Cricetulus griseus: one gene and its partners. The protein of the gene in region 3 purifies or fractionates together with the protein of the main gene of each other region. This does not show direct contact. Links are inferred from orthologs where the notes say so. Each region holds a gene or a part of one and is shown on either strand. Other genes may lie near its edges. The genes, in order: Ppp2r3c, Cep78, Cep43, Cep350 and Ppp2cb.

Region 1 (3,518 bases), on a different chromosome or scaffold from region 3:
CAGAAGTCATTTTTGTACTGCTGATAGACCACTTTAATTTTCATTTCCTTTTTTAGGCAATTTTTTACTGCAAAAGTCTTTGCCAAACTCCTTCATACAGATTCATATGGGAGAATTTCCATCATGCAGTTCTTCAACTATGTCATGCGAAAAGGTGATTTGTTGTGTGTGTGAGTTTGAACTTTTGTCTGGGAATCAAGCAGGCACTGGTCTGCACTTACTTATCCTGTATGATATGCTCTTTTCCTGTGCTTTATGGTTCTGCTGTGTACTGTAAAGAGGTAGGATTATCTGTATTAAAATCAATTCATTATTGTATTTTTTTATTTTATTTTTATTTTATGTGCATTGGTGTTTTACCTGTATGTATGTCTGTGAGAGGGTGTCAGATCTTAGAGTTAGACAGTTGTTAGCTGCCATATGGGTGCTGGGAATTGAACCTGGGTCCTTTGAAAGAGCAGTCAGTGCTCTTAACCACTAAGCCATCTCTCCAGCTCCTGAATTCATCATTTTAAACAAAAGCCTTGTGTACCCTAAGGACGGTGGCAGAGTAGGGATATCAAAAGCAGTTACACTTTTTTCTTTTTTCTGGGTCACATGTACTCTCCCCAAAGGGCCTTTCTCAGTCAGCTCTGTCCTATTGCCACAGTGTCCTCACTATGATTTCACTCTTAGCAGAACAAGACTTTTAATGGGTGATTTGAAATAATTTCAATTTACTGGTAATTTTATTTCACTAATATATATGTCTGAAAGGATAGCTGCAAACTCACAGTTGTAGTCTTGGTTTCAAGAAGCCTGTATTAAAACATTTTGGAGTTGTTATGAATCTTAGTACTATATGGGCTGTGGAATCTTACTGTATACCATTGTTAATTAATAGATTTGGGCTGCAGTAATTAACCTCAGGAGGACACAAGTTTCACTGAAGACCCAATGTTGTGCTAGCTCTCCCTGTGGGGTGGAACACCAGGTTTAATAATCAGAAGACAATGTTCCCAAGGGCATCAGTTTTACTGTAGTAATCATGGCAGAATCGTTGAAATCTGCTATTTCGTGGCTTTTTTCTTTTGGTTTAAATGGCTTGGGGAGTTACTTAATGTATGTGAAAATAGCTTTATGGAGTTTCAGAATTAGCCTGCACTTCTAGTCTAGTGTCTTACTTTTTTATTATATGTTTTAAAGAACAGATCTTAGCATTTACATGTAATTTCTTGTTTATTGTCAGTTTGGCTGCATCAGACAAGAATTGGACTCAGTTTATATGATGTTGCTGGGCAAGGGTACCTTCGGGAATCAGTGAGTATTGATCTAAATTTAATAAACATTATAAACACCAAAATATTAACATTAATCATCACTAAGTTAGTTGTACTTACAGGTAAATTTTTGCGTCATAGCTTTAGTTTGCTGATTTTACCTCTGTAAACATGTTAAATTTTGTATATATTGACCACATATATTGATCTGTAGTTCTTTTTTTCTAGCCTTTTAAAAATATCTTTTGATCTTTTTGAAAGGAAAAGGAAGCTGAGCATCATAACACATACTTCTAATTCAAGCACTTTAGAGGCTGAGGCAGGAGGATTGTTGGGAGTTCAGAGGTAGCTGAAGCTCCACATATGATTGATTCCAGGCCAGCCTATGCTATATAATAGCAAAACATTGTCAATAAATAAATAGAACTTATCTAAACAGGTTTAAAAATGATTGATGAGAGTGGGGTATGGTGCCAGATACCACTAATCCTAGCTTAGGAGGCCAGGATACAAGGACCACTTGGCCAACCTGGTTAGGACTATGTAGTGAGACCTTGTCTCCGAAATCAGAAGGGGGGGAGGGGTGGGGAAGGAAGGAGAGAGAGGGGAGAGAGAGAACAATTACTGAAGAAAAAAGTTTGGAATGTTTTTGTGAATGGTGCATGTTTGGCTTGTGTGCAGGCAGACGTGGAGGCCTGAGGTTGATCAGGGATCATCTTCCACCACTCTTTCCTTCCTGTTCATTGAGCCAGACTCTGAATTAAACCAGAGCTCACCACATGACTAGTTTGTAGCTTGCTCTGGAGAATCCTGGGTCAGTCATCCAAGGCTGATGTTACAGGTGGACTACCGTGCCCACTGTCATTTACATAGGTTCTGGGATCTGAGCTCCAGTCCTCACACTTGCAAAGCAAGTGCCTAACTGCTGAGCCATCTCACTAGCCAGCCTCTCTAAGGGCTAGAGAGAGATGGGGTAGGGCTAACATGTGCCACAGAACACATGTGGAGACTGAAGGAAAACTTCATGGAGCTGGTTCTCTCTTCCCCACTTTCCATGGATTTTAGGGCTCCAACTCAGGTCTTTAGGCTTGCACAGCAAGCACTCTACCTGCAGAGCCATCTCATCTCACCAGCTTGGTTATTCTCATGTGTGCATTATTTTATTACTATGATAAAGACCAAAAAGTTTCTTTCTTATAGAATATAGGGGAAAGCTAATAGGGCTTTGCTTTTACCCATAGGTTTAGAGGGACCTGAAGAGTTACCAAGAGGGTATTTATTTCCTATAGGTATTTGTGTCATTAGGCCTGGTTATGAACAGGATTAAAACCTCATGGCTCAAATGGCTATGCTACTTAGGTAATTTTGGCAGTTATCTAAATTGTGTGGCTATATTTCTTTTGGGCTTATATTTTATTCTCCAATATGGAGTTGTCTTTTAGAACTTAAGGAAGAAGGCCTGTTGGGCATAAATATCAATAAGCTAATGAGTTACTTAAGATCATCACTTTGTCCCTCCCAGGGGCAGAGTATAGTTCTTGTCCTTTAAGGTACAGACCATCACTACTGGAAAGCACTCTTACCTCTGCCTGTCTCTGTAGGAATGGAAGCTGGTGTGTTTAGAACAAAAGCTAGAATAGCAGAAGAAGTCAGAGAAGTACATAATGACCACATTTGTGAGTCGTTTAGACTATAGTGAAGAGTTCAGGGTTTATTTTGAGAGTCAAAAGAAGCCAGGATATGTTCCAGTGAGTTGTCAGAGTGTGGTTTGGGTTTTGGTTTTGTTTTGCTTTGCTTTTTTTGTTTGTTTTGTGTGTGAGTATGTGGAGGTCAGAGAACAACTTGCAAGAGTTGTCTCTCTCTCTATCATGTGGGACCTGGGCATTGAGTCCAGGTCCTCAGGCTTGGCTGTAAGCGCCTTTACCCACTAAACCATCTTGCCTGTCCCATGGTTTCTAGTTTTAAAGGTCACTCTGGATGTATTATGGAAGATTAGAAGAGCACAGAATGGAGGTAGAGATAATGGGCAACTGTCTATTGTAGTCTTGTGAGGGAAAAGTGATAGTGGCCAAGATGAATGGTGACCATAGTAGAAGCTAGAAATGAAGCTGGGCATGATAGCTTACACTTTTTAAACTCAGGAATTAAGAGGCTGAGGCAGGAGATTACTCACAAGTTTGAGGCCAGCCTGCGATACTTAGTGAGACCTTATTTCACCACCGCCACCCTAAAAATACCCGCTGAAAGCTAAAAATAGAT
Region 2 (3,518 bases), on a different chromosome or scaffold from region 3:
TCCCGAGACTTATGATCTTCTTGTCTCAAACTCTTGAAGTAGTTGGGATTTCAGGGAAACATCACCATGCCCAGCTTAAAAAAAAAAAAAAAAAATTATCTTAGTTATGATTTTGTGTGACAAAATTCCATGACTGAAAGAAGCTTGGGAATGAAAGGGTTGTGTCAGTTTACAACATCACAGTCCGTCAGCCAGGGAAGTCAGGGCAGAAACATGGAGGGAGTAGCTGATGGCAGGGATCATGGGGGATGCTACATACTGGCTTGATCCTCATGGCTTGTTCATCCTGCCCAGGGGTGGCACAAGCCACAGTGAGGTGAGCCCCATCAGTCATTAATTAAGAAAATGACCCACAGGCCATTGTTGTGGGGCCATTTTCTCGGTTGATGTTTCTTCTTCCCAAATGACTCTGGCTTGTGTTGAGTTGACATAAAACTAGCCAGCACAATTCTCTAGTGTGTGTTACAAGTTAATCTAAAAGTCAAGCCATGTATTAGTTTTGTAATTGAGTACAAACTGAAAGGTTCTTACTATAAAGGCAGAGGCAAGCGGATCTTTATGAGTTCAAGGCTAGCCTGGACTACAAAGTGAGTTCCAGGACAGCCAGGGCTACACAGAGAAACCCTGTCTCAAAAAACTGAAGGTGGGGGGGAAGGAAAGGACAGAAATGCAATTTTTGTTTTATTAAAAGATGTTTGTGGGTTCAGTGTGACAGTGCACACCTTTAGTGTTCAGGAGGCAGAGGTAGGTGAATCTCTTGAATTTGTGGCCAGCCTGGATTACATAGTTCCAGGCCAGTCAGAGCTACATAATGAGACCCTGTCTTTAAAAAGAAGTATCTTTGAATTAGGCAATTTATTTGTAGTAAGCAGTAGTGAGTGTCCTGAACAGTAGCCAAGTGCTTGCTGTGTCAAGAGGAAGTACAGGCTGTCTGCCCACTGTGCGATCACAGCAGTGATACTTCAGCAGTCAAACTGTGTGTAAGTGGGATTTGGAGTATCATGCTATTACCTAAAGTTTATGTCATGAGTAAGTCTTCTAAAAAGTACTTCAGTTGGTGCTTTGATACACATTATAAAGTGAAGTGAAAAGGATATGCAATGCGTGCATTGCTGTGGCTTTAGGAATGGCATGTAGCCAGGCATTAGACAATTAGAAGAGCAAGAATTTGCTTGTTAGTATTGTTGGAGAGAGTGGAGCTGTGGTTGCAGTTTACAGGCCACTGAGTAAGAGGAATTTTATTTCTTGGCTTTGTTGCTGTTTGCCTCAGTTACTTGGAGACATGGAGGTCAGCTGACCAGTGTCTTGCTGTGTAGAGTTCGGTAAGGACAGAGCCTGTATGTTAATTGTGTCATAGTTATGTGGGAATATATGTTCAAGAAGTTGATAAGAACTTTTATTTTACTACTTTTTTTTTCAGCTAACAAGATACATACAAACCTTTTTAGTCTTAATTAAAAATGTTATCGTTTTTCTGAAAAATCAAAGAAATGGGGTATATATACTGCCATAGACTGGAATGCTTGTTCTGTATGAAAAAACAAACATGGAAGTACTTGTGAGGTAGTGGCAGGAGAATCAGTTCAAGGGGATTTTCAGCTACACAGCAAGTTTGAGGTTAGCCTGGACTGCGTGAGACGCTGCCTTAAAAAATAATAGTAATAAAATAAAAAATGCAATAGCACAGGACGAACTGAGTTCCTGCAATTTAATAGTTACACTGATGTATGCAGAAAATGGCACAGGACTGTGGTGATTATCAGTGAGTTAGTTACACTGTATGAAATATCCACCTTGGGCCACTGAGACAGCACAGGGGAAGGCAATTGCCAGCAAGCCTAAAGACCTGAGTTCGATTCTCAGGACCCACATGGTGGAAAGATATTACTGACTCCTGCAAGTTGTCCTCTAATTGCCCACCTGCATGCCACAGCACACATACACAAATCAGTGTGCTTTTTTTTAAAATGACTTTAAAAGAAATATATGTGCTATATAACTACATGTGCTTCATTTTAGATGGCATCCTAGTACAACAAACCAGAGGGATATACACGACCATTCTATTTTACTTTTATTACTTTTTGTTCTTTTCAAAACAGGATCTTATTATGACTGGTCTAAAACTTTTGATGTCTAGGGATAAGATTAAATACAACTGATTTAGTAAACTTTTGTTATTTGTTCTCAGTGATATTAGAGACAAAAACTTAAAATGTGAACTTTAATATATGATTTCTTCTAATAATGTGTTAATATATGGGTTTAACTGCTACAAGTATTTCATGTTTAATTCTTAGTGTTGACTTTAAGGTAAGTTCCTCATTTCATCTTTGTGTGTGTGTGTGTGTGTGTGTTCTATACTCATGTGAAGACTGAAAGTCATCAAAATGAGGATAACATCCACTCAGTAACCTTCAGCCTTTTTGGGCAGGGATTCCTGTAATCCACACACTGTTAAGTCATAGGCAGGAGGGTCGTAAGTTCAAGTGTAGCCTGAATTAGACAGAGAAACCCGTTTTCAAAAAACAAAGTTTATAAATCACTTGTACTGTAATAGCCTTGGCATCGTAGTCAGTTATTCATTTGTGTTCTGTTAGGAGTGTGTGAATGGTAATCTGTAGTCCTTTAGTACATCTTGATTTTCTTTTATGTCTTCCTTGAACATAGGGTTAGCTACAAAGAAACCTGGGAATAATGGGAGAAAACACGGGCTCAGTAAAGACTGCTATGCCCCAGATCCTCTGCCACCAGGCGCGTCAGGTTTCCTGCCCTGGCGCACTGCAGAACGTGCAAGAAGAAACAGGTAAGGTGTTCTCTGTCATGTGCCTCAGTCCTGACTGCTGTCATTTAGGAGCTTCTGTTACATAGGAGTTCTCCTGTTGATTTCTTAAGTGGAAAGGGGTGACTCACGCATAGCCTCTGCAAAGGAGTGCCCTAAGGAAAGACAAAAAAGCAGACTGTATCTACCAATCCTCGGGAACCAGCTATGTTTAAGTAACCTGTCAGAATGACATTCTGCTTGGTCTGTTCAGGTTTTTTTCATAGGTGATTTAGAGGTATTTAGTGCTGTGGTTCTATATGGATAGTGTACATAATACAAATAAGTTTAATCATGTAGTGTGTATACATTAAAATATAACTTGTTGATATCCTTTTAGGGGTTTTCCATTGTTCAAAACTCGTGATATGCCTAACCTTCTGAAGGTATGTATCTGTCATGTTTCTGACATATAAGGGATTAGAGTAGAAGTGTAGGGTCAGCTGAATAGAGAGCTCTGTAGGATGGTTTTCCCTCCCTGACATAAATGTATTTAAAGCTCTCTGGATTCCTGGCTACCATGGTACAGTTACATGTATATGACACATACTTTGGGAGGCCCTTTGTAGATACTATTTCTACAAAAAAGATGATGCTTACAATAGGTTTGACCAGGGGATGACCACTCAAAAATGTTCCAATGTTGCTTTGGAGTATTATATGTATTTTACACACACGCACGCACGCACGCACGCAC
Region 3 (3,518 bases):
ATAAATGAGAAAGTTTCTAAGTGGGATACACACTAAAAACATTTTCATTTAGAAAGAAGGAAAGAAATAGTGTAAACATCTTCTTTAACATTTTACCATTGGAAAGCTGTCCATGTCAGGAAGCCTGGGAATGAAGTGGGAAAGCATAGGACGACACTGTAGTTCCTGCTGTTGAAAGCACAGGTGTTCACACGCGCGCACGCACGCACGCGCACACACACACGCACACACACACACACGCGCGCACACACACACACACGCACGCACACACACACACACACACACACACACGCACGCACACACACACACACACACACACACACACACACCTATGTTGACTATTGTTTAAGATATCTTAGAAGTTTTATCACCACGGAGACCTCTCCCTCCCTCCATCTTTCTTAGAAGACCAACAGCGAGAGCAGTCAGAGCGAGCCCAGTAGTATCTCCTTATCAGAGCCAAGGAGCAAGAGCAGCCTTCACTCCCTGGCCCAGGAGACACGAATCGCGTCCTTCTTGAGCAGCAGCACTTTAGATGCAAAAGACAAAGGTGTTCTTTGTGGGGAGGAAGATGATGCAGAAGGAGACTCTTTCTTTGATGATCCCATTCCTAAGCCAGAAAAAACCTATGGTTGGTGAGTAGACTTCTTTGGATCATCTGACTTATGATTTAAAAATAAAATCTAAAATGCTTTCATTTTATATTTTAAAACTAATGATTTGCTAATAACTATATAATTATTGAATCCATAAACCTAGTTTTGTGTCAGTAAAACCTAGTATGTTATAAAATAATGCCAGAATTATTGAAGGCACCAGATGAGCCATTTTCACCAGATGAGTCTGTATCAGGTACTCACTGTGTGATAGGAGCTGTATCAGAGTTTCAGTTTGTGCATGTGTGGATGCTTGCTAATATAAGGGAACACCTGGGGATTTAGAATAAGGTAACAGTATTGCTGGAGTGCTGCCCTGTGGTAGACTCCAGGGAGGAGTTGTCAATGGAATGGAGGGGGTGGCCAGGGTAGACACTGATGGCAGTGCCTGGGAAGTTAGGACGGAGCTGACTGGAATGCATGAAGTTGTGATGAAACAGCCTCTGAAGGTTAGAAGGGCTCTGCGCTTCCTGAACAGTATGCATTTGAGAGGAAATGCTTATTTGTTGATTCTTGTACTGTCTTTTGTGTTTCAAAAGATGGAGGGGGCTTCTGAAGGAGCTCCTAGATAGTTGAAGGTCCACTTGGCTGAGAGATAGTAAACAGTTGGGAATTTAGGGGAGCTGGTGCTTCACTGACAATCTTATGCATCTGTAACTGCACGTCTGCAGTCTGCATTGTCCTGTAGGTGTGCTGTATGGTTTTCAATCTGTAAAATCTTCATGTCAACCATTAGATGCATATTTAAATTGCTTTTTTATGTTTACAGAATAAAAGACTATAGTGATAAGGCCTGAAATTATCATTTAACTATTAATTGCTTCCTGTTAGGAGAAATGAACCTAGGAAGCACGTTGGAAGTCTGGCCTCACTCTCTGACATACCCCCCTTCAGGAGTGGTCTCAGCTCCCTGGCAGGAGCCCCTTCATTAACAGATACTGAGAGTAAGTACTTGAATACTCCAGGTTGTAATGATATCTTGTTTATACTCTAACAAATAAAGCTTGCCTGAAGATCAGAGGGCAGAGCTAGCCACTAGATAACCGTAGAGGTCTGGAGGTCAGTACAGATAGGCAGGAAGTGAGGAGGTGGGAGGAGACAGGAGCTCAATCTCTTTTCAGCTGGGAAGTTAGCGAGGTAAAGGTGGCTGTGACTTGCTCCTTGTCTGTCTGATCTTTCAGCATTTTCCTCTGTATCTGACTCCAGGCTTTTATTATTAAGACCTATTAGAACTCATGCTACATGTTGGCGCCCAACGTGATCTTCAGGCAAGCTTTATTTGTTAGGATATAAACAAGATATCACTCTACCAGGTTAGTTGTTGTTGTTTGTTGTTTGTTTTTTTCGGATAAGTGTGGTGTTTGTTGCTGTGATAAAATACCATGACCCAAAGTAAGTTGAGGAAGGAAGTGATTATTTGTGTCAGGTCAAAAAAAAAAAAATTAGCCAGTCATATGTAATAACAATTAATATAGATTGGGGGTTTTATTGTTGTAGTTTTGTTTGTTTGGTTTGGTTTGGGGGGGTTGTTGTTTTAGAAAAATCTCCATTTTAATGAGATGGACAATATTTTGCCACTCTTAATGTAGTCAGTATTCTCCACCATTTGTATTCTTTTTTGCTATGCTATCAACATAGTTTTCGGAAGCTGACTTTTTAAATGCTTTAGACCATCAGTAGGTATACATATACAATTTCTAAATTTTACACAGAAGTCATACATAATACTTCAAATTTAGTCTTGGTTTTCCCTGGCTGCAGTATGCACATCCCTCTGTGTTTTATCAACATGTTGATGAGCCACATGATCACTGGGGAAGGTAAATAGCCTCTACCGAGTACTGCTGGACTGGGCTGGGCTGGGCTGGTAGGTTAGGCATCTCCAGTAGAGTTTTCATAGGAGTATTGTCAACCTAAGATGAGTGTTAGGTGCTGTCCCCTTCCAAGACAGAAAACATTTGTAACTTGTAAGTCATGCCTCATAAACCCTTAAAATAACTTAAATTTTAAAAGAAGTTTTGTGATAGAGTGATCATCATAGTCATTCTGCCATCAGGGACTTGTGTCTGACATTTTTATGTGAACAGAGGAGAGGTTGCTAGCAAGGTGAAAGGATAGCCAGCTTCCTGCACTATGCCATCCCATCTCATCCCATCCTCACCCTGGGAAAGCATATGTGGATATCACCCTGTCATAGTCAGCTGGTATTTAACCTGGTGTGCAGAGCATCAGCAGGACTTCCTCAGGTAGTCCACTTGGAGTTCACAGTACTAGGTTTTGTGTGCATTTTTATTTTGGTGGTTGTGTTCTAATAAAGAATAGTATGATCTGATTTCTCTCCATAACACATGATTGTAGCCTCTACTGATAATTTTACCTCTAGGCTTTCATACTCTTAGGGTGTAAATGCTTGGTGTGGCTTAGAGAATGTTGCCCTGAATTCTTTCACACAGTGCTCTTTCCCGTCTGCAGGTAAAAGAGGAAGCACCGTCCTAAAGGATCTGAAGTTGGTCAGTGAGAAAATCGGATCACTTGGGCTAGGTAACTGTATTTCAGTTTTAGTGTGGTTGTTGAAAACCTTTTCCAGGTCTACATGGAAGAACCGTCCTGCTGTCATTCAGCAGGTGTTGGAGAGTTAGTATGCATCCAGAGTTAGCCCTGTGCCAGGGGACGGTGGCAACAAGTTGCACCATCCTTTGTCTTCATGTCCAGACTGTGGTAGGGGAAGGCCCTGGACTGGGCTTTTGAGGAAGGCCTCTGGAAGAGGCTGTGGCTGGGCCTGGTGATCCAGACAGAGCTGTATAACAAAGGTTTCAGTGAACATGGGTGAAGTGGTGACAGCAACCGAGCTGTTCTCTGGGT
Region 4 (3,518 bases), on a different chromosome or scaffold from region 3:
GTACTTTTTGCTCTCAGATAGCAGGAAAAAAGGAAATTGAATGGTTACAGATATAGATGAATTTGTAGGTAGAAAGGCATGGTGGTGTGACCTGGTGCCTGGTGCCCTCTACTTTTCCATTGAGTTCATCCACAGATAATGACAAGGGACAGAAACAGGCTTGGCTTTGTAAGGTGACAACTGTTTGAGATTCCTCTTAGAGATGAGGAAAGACTTGTCTAAGAATGCCTGCTTATTGTCAGGTATTGTAGTGTCTACATTATATTCATCTTATTATTACTTTTTCCACTTTAGATCTGAAACAGCAAAAAATTGGAAATCTGTAACAGAGTCAGAGCGATCCAGAGGGTCCTTGGCATCTATTGCTGAACATATTGGTATGTGCGTGAAAGAACGAAGTTGTAAAGACATAGTCTAAGTCCCACAGAATTCTACCTCTACAAAAGTGAATTTCTGGGGCTACAGAGATTGCTCAGCAATTAAGAGCATGTGATGTCTTCCCAGAAGACCCAAGTTAGGTTCCCACCACTTATCTCAGACTGGTTTTAACTGCTACTAACTCCAGCTCCAGCAGCCCTAACTGCCTCTTCTGGACTCCACAAACACCCACACACGTGGCAGACAGACAGACAAACTTTTTAATTTAGAAAGTTCACTTTCTCAATTATCATTTGAAGTTACTTGCTCTTTTACTCATTTTACTTCTCTGATGGGGTCTGGATTGTTGCTTACTCTAATTGGAAACTCTTGGGTGCAAGTCATCCTTTTACCTTAGACTCCCAAGTGCAGAGACTATTGGGAACTTTTGTCCCAGCACTCAGTTCTTTTTAAATAAGTTTTTATTGTAAAAAGTGAGGCATGAAAATCAAATAGCTGCATACTATTAACCTCTCAAATTCTTCCCTATAGTAGGATTATACATCTATTATATGATAAATGATTGTAGTCTTATTTTTCAGTTTAACTCAAAGATAACAATTAGAAAATTGCTACTGAAAACAAAAGGACACTAAACTGAGGCAAATAAAAACTGCCATTAATGATAAAGTAGAGATTTGAATAAAAAACGTAACTCCTGATTTGTTAGTTAATTATATCATACTTTATTCTTAGTTTGCCACTTTAGCCCTTAACATCATAGATATGCAGATATATAGCCTGTTTTCCCATGGCTTGAAACTATCATGTTAAACATGTTGTCATAAACTTAGTCCCTGTTACTTTATAAATTATTCCAAACTTGAAAAATTTTAATGTTGTATTTATTTGCAATATATTTTACTTTCTTAAAAGGAAAAAAAAACCCTTTTCTTAACTGAGATTTGGCTTTTATTTAAATTTTGGGTCTCAGATTTGAAAGACTGTAATTAAATAATTTTCTGTGATTTTTTTCTTTCTTTAAGATTCATTATCATGTTCTGAGAGAGCCATATCAGAAAGGTCACTGTTTACATCTGCAAAGGGAGTAGCAGTAGAAGAACACTTGCAGGCCTCATCTCCAGTTGTGTCATCGAGAAAAACAGGGTCAGAACAAGGAGACTCTCTCGAAAGTGCACCTTCATTACCTCCTCTCATGGAATCAAGGGCACCTAGTAGGATTTATGATGTGTTCGAGGCTAAGGCCGAAGACTCTAGTCAAAAATCAGAAATACAAGAACTAGAATACACAAAACTGGAGAAGAGTGAGACTGAAGATGCCTGTTCTAAGCAGTCAGGAAGATCTGAAGTCCTGCTGAGACTAGACCTGAACTCTGAAATCCTTTCAAATAAAGAACTTCCTTCAGACTCTACAAATATTCAGAACGATTTAGGTAAATCAGCCATGGAAATTTTTCATGAAGTATTGAAAGAGAATCAGTGTGATCAAAGTACAGATCACAGCCCAGACATCCAGTCAGCAAGAGAGACCCATGAGCACAAAGGCAGAGAGAAAGGGGACACAGCCTTGTCAGAACACCTTTCTGCTCCTAAAGAATCATCTTATTCTGAAGATTTTGAAGTGTCTTCTTTCAAGAAAGGGATTTCTGCTGAAGTGTCTTCTTTCAAGAAAGGGATTTCTGCTGAAGAGATTAACAAAGATGACTCTGAGGTGTCATCATCGGCGCTGAGGAAAGACTCACAGTCTTACAGAGATAAGTCACAGCCGATGAGGAGCTCTAGAAGCAGGGCCTCTGGGTTTGGTAGCGATGATGAGATCAGTGAGTGCCTAAGTGAAAAAAGCCTTTCCATTCACAGCAGTGTCCACTCTGAAAGGCTGCTGGAACTCAAGTCCCCGACTGAGCTGATGAAAAGTAAGGAGCGCAGTGACGTGGGACACGAACAGGGTATTACTGACTCCCTTTCTCTGGCTGCAGTTTCTGCTGCAGACGAGCTACTGGACTTCCACATTGGGGATAGGGTGTTAATTGGCAATGTTCAGCCAGGCACTCTTCGATTCAAAGGTGAGACTAACTTTGCTAAAGGATTTTGGGCTGGAGTAGAACTGGATAAACCTGAAGGGAATAACAATGGAACATATGATGGCATTGAATATTTTGTGTGCAAAGACAAGCATGGTATTTTCGCTCCCCCTCAAAAAATATCTCACATCCTAGAAAACTTTAACGACTATATAGACATAAATGAAGATGAAGAATCTTATTCTGATGAACATTATCAATTCTATAATCAAGAGCAGAAAGATATAAAATGTCTAAAAGACAGAGAAGACGATATAGCTGAATATTTTTGTGAGAAATCGCTAGCTAGTATGCATAGTATAGAAGCCTCAGTGGATACAGATAGAAGCCTTAACATAGAAACCGACAATAAACTCGATAATTCTGGAGGCCTAGAAGCCCATGTTCACCAACAATCTTCAGTAGATCCCCTCATTTCTTGTAAGGAGAACAAAGCCCTTGTTTCTGACATCACAGACTATGTTCCTGATGCTGCAGGTGCTACTCCAGATGACACATCTTCTGAAGAATCAAAGCTACAGCATCTTGCAGAGAAGGAAGAGAATTCATATTCCCAAGTTTCAGAAAAGCCTTCTACCCCACTTCTGGACCTGTTAACAAAAGAAAAAAACCAATTAGAAGCTCAGCTGAAGTCATCAATAAGTGAAGAAAAAAAGTCAAATCAACAACTAGAAACAGTCAGCTTACTGACAGACAGTTTACTAAAAGATTTTGTGAAAGACACAGTTAGTCAACTACAACAAATCAAAAAGTCAAGGAATGAGAAAATCCAGCTTAGCAATCAGGAGATTCTTGACCAAAAGGAAGTACTGCTCCAAGACCCACCTCAAAACATTGAGGAACAACTACCCAGTGTTCCAAGTTGCTTTTTAAGGTCTGAATTAGAAGATGAAAAAGAAGAGCTCTCTTCTCCAGACATGTGTCCCAGACCTGTGAGTATTTCATCTAGAGGAGAGTCTGATTACCTTTTACTCAGTGACTTGAGGTGGGCATTCCCCCCAACCTGCTGCTTATTAGATACAAATTGCTATGTTGTTAAAGGACTTGTAGCTATTCTTC
Region 5 (3,518 bases), on a different chromosome or scaffold from region 3:
GTAGGGATGTGCCTCAGTAGGGAAGCACTTGTCTAGAATAGTAACCAGCGAGGAGGCGGCAGCTGGGTGTAACCAATTGGTTTAGGTCAGACTGAGGGTACAGTAACTTGGCTATTTTACAGTGTTTTGTTTTTGTTGTTGTTGTTAAATTTCCATTTATTTGTTGGAAGGTGCATGCCACAGCATTAATGTAAAGGTGTGAGGAGAGCTTTCTCCTGCTGCTTAAGTCCAGAGCATCAAGTCATCTTCAGGCTTGTGGAGGCAAGTGCTTGGACAAGCCTTACTGCAATTTTGGCTTTGAGACAGTATCCTAAGGCAGTACTCTGGATTACTACAGTAGAACATAGAGTTTCTAGAAAGCAAATGTGGAGTTAATGGTCTTTATAGAAAATTGAACCATGTAAGCCAGACAGCCCTTTAGAATTGGAGGCAGGGGACTCAGAAGGGAGTTTAAGGTGAGTTTAGTGTAGCTGGCATTGTTTTTACTCATCATTTACTAGTCCATCATTTACTAGTCTGTCTGGTTGACAGTTGTGTCCCAGGAGTGACTAAGCTCTTGAAAGGCCTCTTTCCCAGTCTTACTCAGTCTTACTGCACTGTGCTAGGCTCTCTTGCTTCCTGTGCTTAGCATCCCTGCACTAATGCTTGGGCTTGTCTCGCCTGACATAGCTTTAAGTACTTCTTTCTGTGCTGGGCAGCAGTGATTTGGTGACAGCAAGATGATTTTTCAGGCTATAGAAAGTACTATAGTTACCATCAGATCTGATGGCTTCTTGCATTGTACTCAATAACGGTTTTGCTTCATTTTGTTTTTAAGCTTTTTTTTTTTTTTTCTTTTAATTAAACAGATCCCATGGTTTTGTGACTTGACTTTTTCACTCTGGATGTAAGGATAAGTGAAGTCATAATACCACATGATCATTTGTTTCTGGCTTCTTTGACTTAAAAGCATAGTATTTTCAAAATAACAGCACATAGCAGTGCATTATTTTTCTTTTAATGGTTGGTTATCACTCTCAATCTGGTTGGGTATCCTATGCTATGTCAACTCATGACTTAGTGGGCATTACTTTGTACTTTTTTGACTACTAACGGTTGCTGCACCTCCAGAGGAACTGGGTTCATTTCCAGTGCTTGTGTCAGATGTCTCACAACCACCTGTAACTCCAGCTCCAAGGGATCTGATGCTCCCCTCTGCTTTCCAGACACAAAAAGTAAAAATACATCTTTTAAGTAAAAGAGTAATGTTGCCATGAATAATTGAATTATTATTACCTTACCTAAGGATTTCAAGTTGTCTGCATCTTTGTAGACGTGTCATTGCCAGTCTTTGCTATTATAGCCATAAGTCGGGGTGTCTCTTTGTGTGCTTTGGGGGGGGGGGTTCGTTTGGTTTTCCAAGGCAGGGTTTCTCTTTGTAACTCTGGCTGTACTGGAACTCGCTCTTGAGTTACAGAGATCTACCTGCTTCTGCGTCCTGAGTGCTGAGAGTAAAGGTGTGCACTGCCAGGTCGGGTTATTTTATTTTTACAAGGCATACTTCCAAGTGGTTTTCCCCCTGGATTTTCTTTCAGTAAGTAAGAAATGCTGTTAAATGTGTAACTGAATCTTTTTAATTGTTGATTTTCCTTTTCCAACAGGCTAAGGAAATTTTAACAAAAGAATCAAATGTACAAGAGGTTCGCTGTCCTGTTACTGTTTGTGGAGATGTGCATGGCCAATTCCATGACCTTATGGAACTCTTCAGAATTGGTGGAAAATCACCAGATACCAACTATCTATTCATGGGTGACTACGTAGACAGAGGTTATTATTCTGTGGAGACTGTGACTCTTCTTGTAGCATTAAAGGTATGATTAGTGAAAATGGGTAAGGGGTAAGCTTCACATTAGGCCAAAAGCAAGAATGGTAGTGCTGCATGTATCTCAGCTTAAATAACCATTGGCTTTACATCTTTTTTTTAAGATTTATTTATTATGTATACAGTGTTCTGCCTGCAAGCATACATGCACACCAGAAGAGGCACCAGATCTCATTAGAGATGGCTTGTGAGCCACCCTGAGGTTGCTGGGAATTGAACTCAGGACCTCTGGAAGAACAGCCAGTGCTCTTAACCTCTGAGCCATCTCTCCAGCCTGGCTTTACATCTTTTAAAGGGAGATAAAAATTAGCTGGGTGGTGGTAGTTCACACCTTTAATCCCAGCACTCGGGGGCAGAGGCAAGTAGATCTCTGTGAATTCGAGGCCAGTCTGGTCTACAGAACGAGTTCCAGGACAGCTAGGGCTGTTACACAGAGAAACCCTGTCTCAAAAAACAGAGAGAGAGAGAGAGAGAGAGAGAGAGAGAGAGAGAGAGAGAGAGAGGTTAATGCATTAAACTTGTATCTACTTCTGATAAATGTGTAACATTTGCATTGTTCATAACTGAACTCTGAATTATATTTAATTACTTACTACTCGTCATATGGAACCATTAAGCAATTCTGTAATTTATGCCATGAAAGGTCCATTGTTCTTGCCTTCCTATTTTTACTGCCCTACACTCACCACTTCACACTGCCAGATGAGAGATCTCCTCGTTTAGCTTCTGTGTGTTCTGTCTTCTTTAATTCCTTACAGTCAGTAGAGCTGAACTCTTGCTCTCCTTTTAGTCTGGTCTGAATTGACCTACTTGCAGTTCATAGCAAAAACTTCCCACCTCAAAGAATATTTTTATTCTTTGCTCTAGGCCATCTAGTTCTTTCTTGATCCAGTTTCCCCACAAGATTACTCTAGCTACTTCCTATTTGTGCCTCCTGCCCCAGCTCAACAAATGCTTGGGATTTTTGGATCTTGGGAAATTGACATAATTCATAATGAGATGAGGGGACCCATCTAAGCATAAAATCCACTTGTCTCATATATAGTTTACATACCTGTCCTTAATGCTAACAGTTAATTTACAAATGGACAAAAGAACTACTTAAAGAAATGACTTTGATGTTAAAACTAACACAATACTGGTGAGATACGATTATACCACGTTTCTTTTCCTTTTCTTTCAGGTGCGCTATCCAGAGCGTATTACAATATTGAGAGGAAATCATGAAAGCCGGCAGATCACCCAAGTCTATGGCTTTTATGATGAATGTCTACGAAAGTATGGAAATGCCAACGTATGGAAATACTTTACAGATCTCTTTGATTATCTTCCACTTACAGCTTTAGTAGATGGACAGGTGTGTAAGTGTGTGTAACTATGTCTTACAGAAGGTGGTTAAACATGGGAAAATACTTTCTATCAGGAACTCAGGATCTGTATTTACAAGATACAAGTTTCTGGCTTTGTTTAATACAATGCTGGGGATTAAACCTGGGGGCTTGGTGTCTGGTGCATGCTAGCAAGTGCCCTGCCATTGAGCCACAGACCCATGGTTTGGTTAGTCTGTTGATGTTGGTTTTTTAGGGGGGGTTGTATATGTGTGTTTTGGAGACAATCCACTAAGCTACCCAGGCTTAGACTCAGTGTACCCAACACA

The links.
Region 1: the proteins of Cep43 (region 3) and Ppp2r3c purify together in Homo sapiens (affinity purification with mass spectrometry; 3 studies listed by BioGRID and IntAct, counting the BioPlex papers as one, with this or other methods). This does not show direct contact. The link is inferred for Cricetulus griseus from reciprocal best matches to the Homo sapiens genes CEP43 and PPP2R3C.
Region 2: the proteins of Cep43 (region 3) and Cep78 purify together in Homo sapiens (affinity purification with mass spectrometry; 3 studies listed by BioGRID and IntAct, with this or other methods). This does not show direct contact. The link is inferred for Cricetulus griseus from reciprocal best matches to the Homo sapiens genes CEP43 and CEP78.
Region 4: the proteins of Cep43 (region 3) and Cep350 purify together in Homo sapiens (affinity purification with mass spectrometry; 6 studies listed by BioGRID and IntAct, counting the BioPlex papers as one, with this or other methods). This does not show direct contact. The link is inferred for Cricetulus griseus from reciprocal best matches to the Homo sapiens genes CEP43 and CEP350.
Region 5: the proteins of Cep43 (region 3) and Ppp2cb purify together in Homo sapiens (affinity purification with mass spectrometry; 4 studies listed by BioGRID and IntAct, counting the BioPlex papers as one, with this or other methods). This does not show direct contact. The link is inferred for Cricetulus griseus from reciprocal best matches to the Homo sapiens genes CEP43 and PPP2CB.

The regions. Positions count from the first base shown.
Region 1 is NC_048598.1:147,145,971-147,149,488, forward strand, and holds part of Ppp2r3c (serine/threonine-protein phosphatase 2A regulatory subunit B'' subunit gamma), read left to right. Parts: intron 1-56; coding exon 57-154; intron 155-1,228; coding exon 1,229-1,299; intron 1,300-3,518. UniProt on the Homo sapiens protein: May regulate MCM3AP phosphorylation through phosphatase recruitment. May act as a negative regulator of ABCB1 expression and function through the dephosphorylation of ABCB1 by TFPI2/PPP2R3C complex.
Region 2 is NC_048596.1:45,104,710-45,108,227, forward strand, and holds part of Cep78 (centrosomal protein of 78 kDa), read left to right. Parts: intron 1-2,670; coding exon 2,671-2,806; intron 2,807-3,161; coding exon 3,162-3,207; intron 3,208-3,518. UniProt on the Homo sapiens protein: Centriole wall protein that localizes to mature centrioles and regulates centriole and cilia biogenesis. Involved in centrosome duplication: required for efficient PLK4 centrosomal localization and PLK4-induced overduplication of centrioles.
Region 3 is NC_048595.1:292,382,369-292,385,886, reverse strand, and holds part of Cep43 (centrosomal protein 43), read left to right. Parts: intron 1-405; coding exon 406-635; intron 636-1,487; coding exon 1,488-1,600; intron 1,601-3,128; coding exon 3,129-3,197; intron 3,198-3,518. UniProt on the Homo sapiens protein: Required for anchoring microtubules to the centrosomes. Required for ciliation.
Region 4 is NC_048598.1:35,890,360-35,893,877, forward strand, and holds part of Cep350 (centrosome-associated protein 350), read left to right. Parts: intron 1-294; coding exon 295-377; intron 378-1,403; coding exon 1,404-3,391; intron 3,392-3,518. UniProt on the Homo sapiens protein: Plays an essential role in centriole growth by stabilizing a procentriolar seed composed of at least, SASS6 and CPAP. Required for anchoring microtubules to the centrosomes and for the integrity of the microtubule network.
Region 5 is NW_023276807.1:51,178,240-51,181,757, reverse strand, and holds part of Ppp2cb (serine/threonine-protein phosphatase 2A catalytic subunit beta isoform), read left to right. Parts: intron 1-1,640; coding exon 1,641-1,850; intron 1,851-3,044; coding exon 3,045-3,218; intron 3,219-3,518.